2 linked regions of the Macaca fascicularis genome follow. The protein of the gene in region 1 purifies or fractionates together with the protein of each later gene. This does not show direct contact. Links are inferred from orthologs where the notes say so. Each region holds a gene or a part of one and is shown on either strand. Other genes may lie near its edges.

The links.
Region 2: the proteins of AKAP9 (region 1) and CDK5RAP2 purify together in Homo sapiens (affinity purification with western blotting; 4 studies listed by BioGRID and IntAct, with this or other methods). This does not show direct contact. The link is inferred for Macaca fascicularis from reciprocal best matches to the Homo sapiens genes AKAP9 and CDK5RAP2.

What each region holds. Positions count from the first base shown.
Region 1 is NC_088377.1:129,244,971-129,248,790, forward strand, and holds part of AKAP9 (A-kinase anchor protein 9), read right to left. Parts: intron 3,647-3,820; coding exon 3,561-3,646; intron 2,022-3,560; coding exon 1,892-2,021; intron 991-1,891; coding exon 851-990; exon of another isoform or gene 1-850. UniProt on the Homo sapiens protein: Scaffolding protein that assembles several protein kinases and phosphatases on the centrosome and Golgi apparatus. Required to maintain the integrity of the Golgi apparatus. Required for microtubule nucleation at the cis-side of the Golgi apparatus.
Region 2 is NC_088389.1:37,582,533-37,586,352, reverse strand, and holds part of CDK5RAP2 (CDK5 regulatory subunit-associated protein 2), read right to left. Parts: intron 3,344-3,820; coding exon 3,222-3,343; intron 2,102-3,221; coding exon 1,865-2,101; intron 1-1,864. UniProt on the Homo sapiens protein: Potential regulator of CDK5 activity via its interaction with CDK5R1. Negative regulator of centriole disengagement (licensing) which maintains centriole engagement and cohesion. Involved in regulation of mitotic spindle orientation.

The sequences.
Region 1 (3,820 bases):
TCTGGGTTTTGTGAAATTTGGATGCTCAAAACAAAACAAGCCAAGGCAAACCAACAAGCACACTCAGCTATGATAATAAAAGTTTCCTATTACTACAAGATGCTTGGGTTTAAACAAATGCTTTCTTGAAGGAAGAGAGAAACTACTAAGTGATTCAAAGTCTTTGAATCAGGAGTGAACTGAAGTGAGAAAGGGAAAAGAGGTTTTCCTTCCATGAACAGGGAATCCACCTTTATTTTAAAGTATGAATTGCTTTTTGTTTTTGAACAAAGAAAAATAAAAGAATCCTTATGAAGTATTTTAAAATGGGATAATTTTTTTGGATGATACATAAAGGCACAATATAGTAGCAGGGAAAATGGTTACATTAAGTGCTTAAAGCAAGTGCTTCCTCCTTAACTCCACCCGATTTGTATGCCTTACCACTTTTTTTTTTCTTTGAGACAGGGTCTCACTTTGCTGCCCACGCTGGAGTGCTGTGGCACGGCCTTACCACTTTCTGCCACGCACTACTTAGGAATACGTTCTCCAGTAAGGCTCTGTAGACTCAGAGTACCTTGCACATTGGTGCTCATTGTGCATTTGTGTCATCAGTCCGCTGAATGAAGATAGTAGGAAATCATTTTTGGGAGGAGTGAGATCTGGGGTGATAAATCATATTTTCACTTAAATTATTTAAAGTCAGTTTCTCTGCTGGTTACAAGAGTTTAAGCTTTGGCTAACTTAATAGCTCATGCACTAAACTGGAAGCTTTGATTATCCTAATGATGAGTGTGAAAGAATTTCAAAAAAAGGGGAGCTGTGGGTCTAGCACTGTGGTGCTGCCAAGATGTGGTTAAACTTAGAGCACCTGACTGTATAGTTCCAAGTCGTCTTTGCAGTGCCTCCAGCCGAGTGATATAATCTGTTAGGGCTCTGTCAGGATCGTAATTCTGAAGCTGAGAACATGCTAAAGAACCAGGAATGAAATCAGCTGGAGTGCCTGGGTACCTAAAGGATTAAAAATATGTACATGAATCAAGTTATCCAGAAATATGCATACAAGTTACCAACCTGCCTCTACTCCCTTCCCCAAAAAGGTGGGTCACTTGTACACACATAATGTATATCCCCTAAGCTTCAGCTTTGGAGTTTGGGATGAGAAAGAGACGACTCTTCAATAAATTCAAAGATGCTACTAAGTCAACATAAGAATGTCCAATACAATGCTTGTGGCAGAGGTCTCAATAAATTGGGTATGTATAAATGCATCTTGTCATGAAGATTGTTAAGCTTTTCATAATGGTCAGAGACTATCAATTTTAATCAATACTTTTACCAATATCTAATCACAGCATATACTAAATAACACTTGGTCAGCTTTGTTTGCTATACCCTTGGAAATCAGTTACAAATTTAAACACTGGTGTTTACATTTTTACATTGAGCCTTAGATTATGTGCATTATTATTATTATTTTTTTGGAAACCAAGTCTTGCTTTTTGCCCAGGCTAGAGTGCAGTGGTGCAATCTCAGCTCACTGCAACCTTTGCCTCTTGAGTTCAAGCGATTCTCCTGCCTCAGCCTCCCCAGTAGCTGGGATAACAAGCACCCACCACCATGCCCGGCTAATTTTTTTGTATTTTAAGTAGAGACAGGGTTTCACCATGTTGGCCAGGCTGGTCTCAAACCAGCTGGTCTTGAACTCCTGACCTCATGATCTGCCCACCTCAGCCTCCCAAAGTGCTGGGATTATAGATGTGAGCCACCATGCCTGGTCAGATTATGTAAATTACATATAACAAAGATGTCTGTCTCAATGCAAAGAAGTCAAAGCCCTAAAAATGTCCATTTTTCTCTGTTAAATATGAATACATTTAACAATTCCAGGCAGGTTTTCTCAAATTCTTACCTATTCTGAAATGGTAAAGGGGACCTAATATAGTCCAGATCTGATCTTGAGCGATACGTTGTGTGTCTTGGTTCTCCATATAGCTCCAGCCCACCAGAAGAATGAAAAAATGAGTCAGTCTTTTCTGCACCTAAAGTAACCCAAAATATTCCTTGTAAAGAAAAATAAAACCCAAGCCCTTAAAAAATTTCTACAAAATAGATAACTGCTCAAAAGACTATTATACTATATTATACCATCTCCTATTTATAGTCATTTCTTACTATTCTTGCTAAAGGAGAAACAGTGCAAACAAAAATTTGGCTTTCAAATGTTATTTTGTTTACTTTTGAATATGAGTATTTCTGATACCTGGAATTATGTCTCAAAGAAAATTATTTAATTGGCATACTTTCTTTTTTAAAGACCTTAGCTCTAAGTAGATGAGAGGTGAGGGGTGTCTGAGTATGTGTGGTTTGTGGGAAATGATGTGGATAAAAAATATTAGACTATGTAAACATTCCATTCTATTGACTTAAAATCAAGATTTGCTAACTTTTAATAAAACACAACTTATTATGGTACAAATTTCAGCTGTTTCAGTGTAATGATATTTCAAAATACTTTGTGTAGGGTACCAAAGCTATTTCCCCTCTCTCGGATGCTCAGCTCCTGGTAGAGGATGTGAAGGTGGTTTACTGTGAATACACAGCACAGGGATGCTGTGTCCTCTGTACCTCTGTGTGCTCCCCAGATTTGGACCTCATCTTTATTGCCAGAAATGTTCAAGCCCTAGTTTGTTTCCACTTCTAGGTGTAGAGAGAAGGAATTTTAGCTGTTACCATTATTATACAACCTCTTGGTAAACTCAGAAACCTGTTTGAATATTGTTAAATTATGAAAACTTCATAATTATTCCATATGACTAACAGCAATCCTGTCTTGAACCAGTGCCTTAAATGCAGTTATGAAGAGTATGGGCTCTGGAGCCAGACTGCCAGTGTTTGGTCCTGATTCCATCACTTCCCTACTGGCCATTCTGGGGCAAATGACATGTGTTTTCCATGCCTCGGTTTTTCATCTAAAAGTGAGAATAGTAACAACTGTATTTCTATCACAGGATTGGGAGAATACATGAAAAGAGCACAGCCCGGTGCAGACTAAGTTCTCCATGAAAATCAGCTATTATTATCCTCTTTAAAAAACAGTGAAGTTACCTAGTTTTGGCAGTTATAAGGGCTTTGTCTTTGGAAAACATTGTTTCCAGAATTCATTATTTGGTAAGTATTACACATGCAGTAATTCAGAGCAGCAGTCCCTAACCTTTTTGGCACCAGGGACGCATTTCATGGAAGACAATTTTTCCATGGACCCAGAGGGGCCGGAATGGTTTCTGGATGAAACTGTTCCACCCCAGATCATCAGGCATTAGTTAGATTCTCATAAGGAACACACAACCTAGATTCCTCACATGTGCAGTTCACAATAAGGTCTGTGCTCCTGTGAGAATCTAATGCCACGGCTGATCTGCCAGGAGGTGGAGCTCGGGCAGTAGTCCCCGCCACTCACCTGCTGCTGTGCGGCCTGGTTCCTAACAGGCCACAGACAAGTATGGGTCCATAGCCTGGGGGTGGGGGACCTCTGATTTAGAGAGTCATAAACATAAGAAAATATGCTATTTTGACTTCACCTTGATTCAGTCCAAAGCCATCTCTGTTAATATTGATGGAACCAGAACCTGTGACTCGATGCCACCGTCGAACCAAAAATTTCATTCTAAAAAAGATTCCAAGATAAAATTTCACAGCACATCTATAATGTAAACAGTATGTATACTTCCTACAAAAATCACATCATACATTTAAATATGAACATAGAACATATGTCAAATTTCACGATTGCCCAATTAAACTATGTCAATGCCCATTGTGACAAAATCAACTGGAACAG
Region 2 (3,820 bases), on another chromosome or scaffold:
AGCTCCATAGAGCTGGCCCTGAGAGGAATCACTCTCAGCGAAAGACATCAGCCTTTAGAACATAATTTTAAAAACAGATGCACTTAAATACAGACCTGAGAAGTCTTTTGCAAAGGAAGAAATGCTGCTGCCTACAATTCTGATCTTGACTCAAGAAAATTAGAAAACTTTTCTGCTGAGGCAACACCGTGAATTCTGAATGCTCTCCTGGATGCCTCTTGCCACACATGCTGAGGGCTGCTTTCGGCAAATTTCAAAGGCAAAGGCTGTTTGATGGCCTCCTCGCTTCAGCTACCCAACGCTCCTTCCTGGGCACCCCAAGCACAGAACTCTTCTCCTTGCTTCAATCTCCCCTAGCCCACCCCCACAAGCTCCTCAAAGCCTTAAAAAGGGCCAGGTGCAGACCCATGTTAAAAATATTAATGCCCGATGCTGATGAGGTCACGCAAAAACCACTACCTTTGTACACTTCTGATGGACAGACCATTTAGAAGGTAGAAATATGGCACCTTTCTAAACTTCTGAGATTCCCCTGGTCGGGTTTTCTCCTAAGAATATTGTTTAACAGCAAAAAGTATATTAACATTGATGTCTATTATGGCTCTAAATCAGAGACCACTTTAATAATCAACGGGGTCATGGACTGGTGACTAAGAATAGCCTGCAAACAATCATTAGGAAGCCCATGTGAAAGCAGAGGGAACATGTATGATGCAATATTGGACAAAAACAAAGAAAGGACACAGAATGACACAAAAACCAATTTGAAAAATATAAATTCATGCCGATATTTAATAAATGAAAAGAAATATGCAAATTTTAAAAAATGATCAATGTGTAGAATCATCAACTTTTTTTCTCTGTTCACTTTTTTCATATTATTACATCATCTTTTTGGTTAAATTTTAAGATCCTTGTCAATGAGAAATCAATGAACTAATCACTACAAGTTCTAAGGCAGACTGACTAGGTACTCCTTAAGAGATTTATTTTTATTTTTTTAACTAGAGGTATCCAAGTAAAAGTAAGTGCAAACTTTAGTACAATACTGCTTTTAAAGCATGCTGGCATTCCTCATCCCACTGGATACACATATTTACCCCATGGGTGTCAGGAAGATAATCCCAGGATACCCAAGGCTCCAGAGGGTCCAGTGGGTTTAGGAACAGCCCTAGAGTCAAAGCTGGAAATGGTTTCTAGTTCCAGCTCTGCTGCCTAATTGCTATGCCACTTTGGGCAAGCCCCATCCACTCTCTGGGCCTTTGTTTTTCATCTCTAGAGCAAAGAGGACAGGCTGCCTGACTGATTGGAGTCTAACCATTTACTGGTTTGCTCCACACCCTGTGGTGGGCAGGTGGCAGAGGTGTCTGCTCCTCTTTCTGGTACCCCCCCACAGCCTCTCTCCAGGGCTAGGCAATTAACCTGCAAGCAAATGCAAAACAGATCCACTTTTTAAACCTATCAGGATGATTTTCAGATCCTGAAAGACACTGAAAGCCAGATTAAGATGTTTGGGTTCCCTTCTAAAGGCAGTAAGAGAAACTAAAAGAAATTTCAGCATGGAAGTGATGCAGGCAGGAATAAATGGATAGGAGGGAGCAAGGCCAGAGGCATTGAGGGTGTCTGGAAGTCCAAATTCCACTTCCCTGAGAATCAAGATGCCTCAGATGGAGATTACGCCACTTTGCCAAAGGTGACGTCTAATTAATTAGCAGTCAGGTCCCCTGGCTCCCAGGGTACAGCGTGTCAGCTATCAACGGAAAGACACCTGTGTGGGGCAAAGGCATCATTCAGAAGTTCACACGTCACACACAGATGCTCAGAGCTGCATTCTCAGCCAAGTGGGGAGAGGCAGGGGCAGTACCGTGTTTGTCAGGCTGAAGGGGCACCTCAGGGATGGACAGGGCTTGGATGGCCAGAGTGAGGGCTCCTTCCTGTGCCTTCTCTGCCCCCCTTGCCAGCTGTTCCTCGAGGCTACTCTGCAGAGTGCTGCTGGTTTCAATGCTCCTTTCCAGTTGCAACCGCAGAGCCTGGATCTCCATCAGGAGGCTGTGCAGGTCCCTGAAAGGATCCTGCCCCTTCCAGCCTTCTCCCGACGCCTCTGCAGACATGTGCAAAGAGAAGCCCTGACATCTTCTACAACCAAAGGGTCAGCCATTGAAGGAACTCAATCGCGTTTTACACCCGCCACCACCATCGCCCTCCCTCTTCCTAAGAACTAGGTACAGTTTAAAATAACAACTTGACTTTAGAAACAAAAATATTGGCAGACTTAATTGCTGCTATTCCACAAGCTAAATAAGAGCTGGAAATTAATTTTCGCTTCTGGCCATAAAAGCCTAGCAAATTGCATACCAAACCCCGAAATTATGTCTAGTAGTAATAAAATCTATTTGGGCTAGAATTATAGAATGAAAGGGGATGATTTTAAGAGCCACAGTATATTAAAAAGACACAACAGCAAGAATAAGAAAAGCAAGTTGAGAAGAAAATAAAAGCTGTGAGATGACCCCTTTCTAGATCAACTTTCAATAGAGAGAAACCATCTGGAAAATTAGTTTAAAAAAAAAAAAAAACAAAAAAACACCTCACCACACCTCAAAATTGATTCTGAAACATTAGACCTTATAGTTGAAGCACTCTGAGCTGGTATCTCTCTTGGGATACAGAGAGCACTGAGGCCAACAACTATCCCCAGAGCAATGCCCAGCACATGAGAGGTGTCCATAAATGTTTGCTGAATTAATGGGCAAAAAGTAACACACACTAGCAGGACGATAATAAAAGTCATTTCCCGAGTGCTTACTATGTGTCAGGTATCATGCTAGGATGCTTTTAATAAATGGTCTCATTCAATTTTCAACACAATTCTCCACACAACAGGTGCTGAGAGACATGTTTTACAGAGGCATGTATGGGCTGGGCTCAAAGGGTGAAGTGGCCTGCTGAGGGTCAAATAGCTGGGAACAAGGGAGTGGGAACCCGGACCGTGGCTGGCCTGGGTGCTGAGCCTCAGTCCTTCTATGTTTCCTGCTGTTCCTTCAAAAGAAGAGTGGGTCAAAGCGCTAGCTTCAACACCCATCCATTCTACCCACGAGGCCAGAGAGGAGAGGGCTGAGCTCTACCCTCCTGCGCCTACAGCCGGCGGTCGGGTGGGCTTACAGCCCAAAGCACAGTAGCCTCAAGGTGAGAAGGGCCTCGGACCAGAGCCCCCCCGGTACCTCTCAGTCTCCTGTGCTCTTCATCCAGCTTCTCATACGCCTTCAGCTCCACTCGGAGGGACTGCAATAGCTTGTCATTCTGTGAGAGCAGCTGCTGCCTCAACTTCACCTCCTCCTGCACCCTAAGAAGGCCCCACAGGCATGAGAAGCACAGGTTAGTTCTACCATAGGGTAACTTATTCGAACCCCACAGAGCAGGCCAATTCCACTCTCAGTCACAAGAGTGTGGACCAAGCAGTGACAAGCCTGGTTAAGAATTCCAGTCACAGCTGCAATTTCCAAGTGCTCCCCGTGTCCAGCCCCGTACATACGTGATCTCATGTAATCTTCACAGATGCCCTAAACGGTTGGTGCTCTCTAACCCTCAGTTCAGAGATATGAGGAAACGAAACTCAAAAGGGCTGTTTCCTACCCAGGCATGCACAGCTCGGGAGGGGAGCCAGACTTAGACCCAGGACTACTTGGCAGCAAAGACGAAGATCTTGCTACCTCACTGCACCACCCTTGGTGATGACGGTAACTGAAAGAGTGGGGCATTCACGCGTGCCGACAGGAACAACTGAAATGTGGAACCAGACAGACTCAAAGAGGGAAATGGC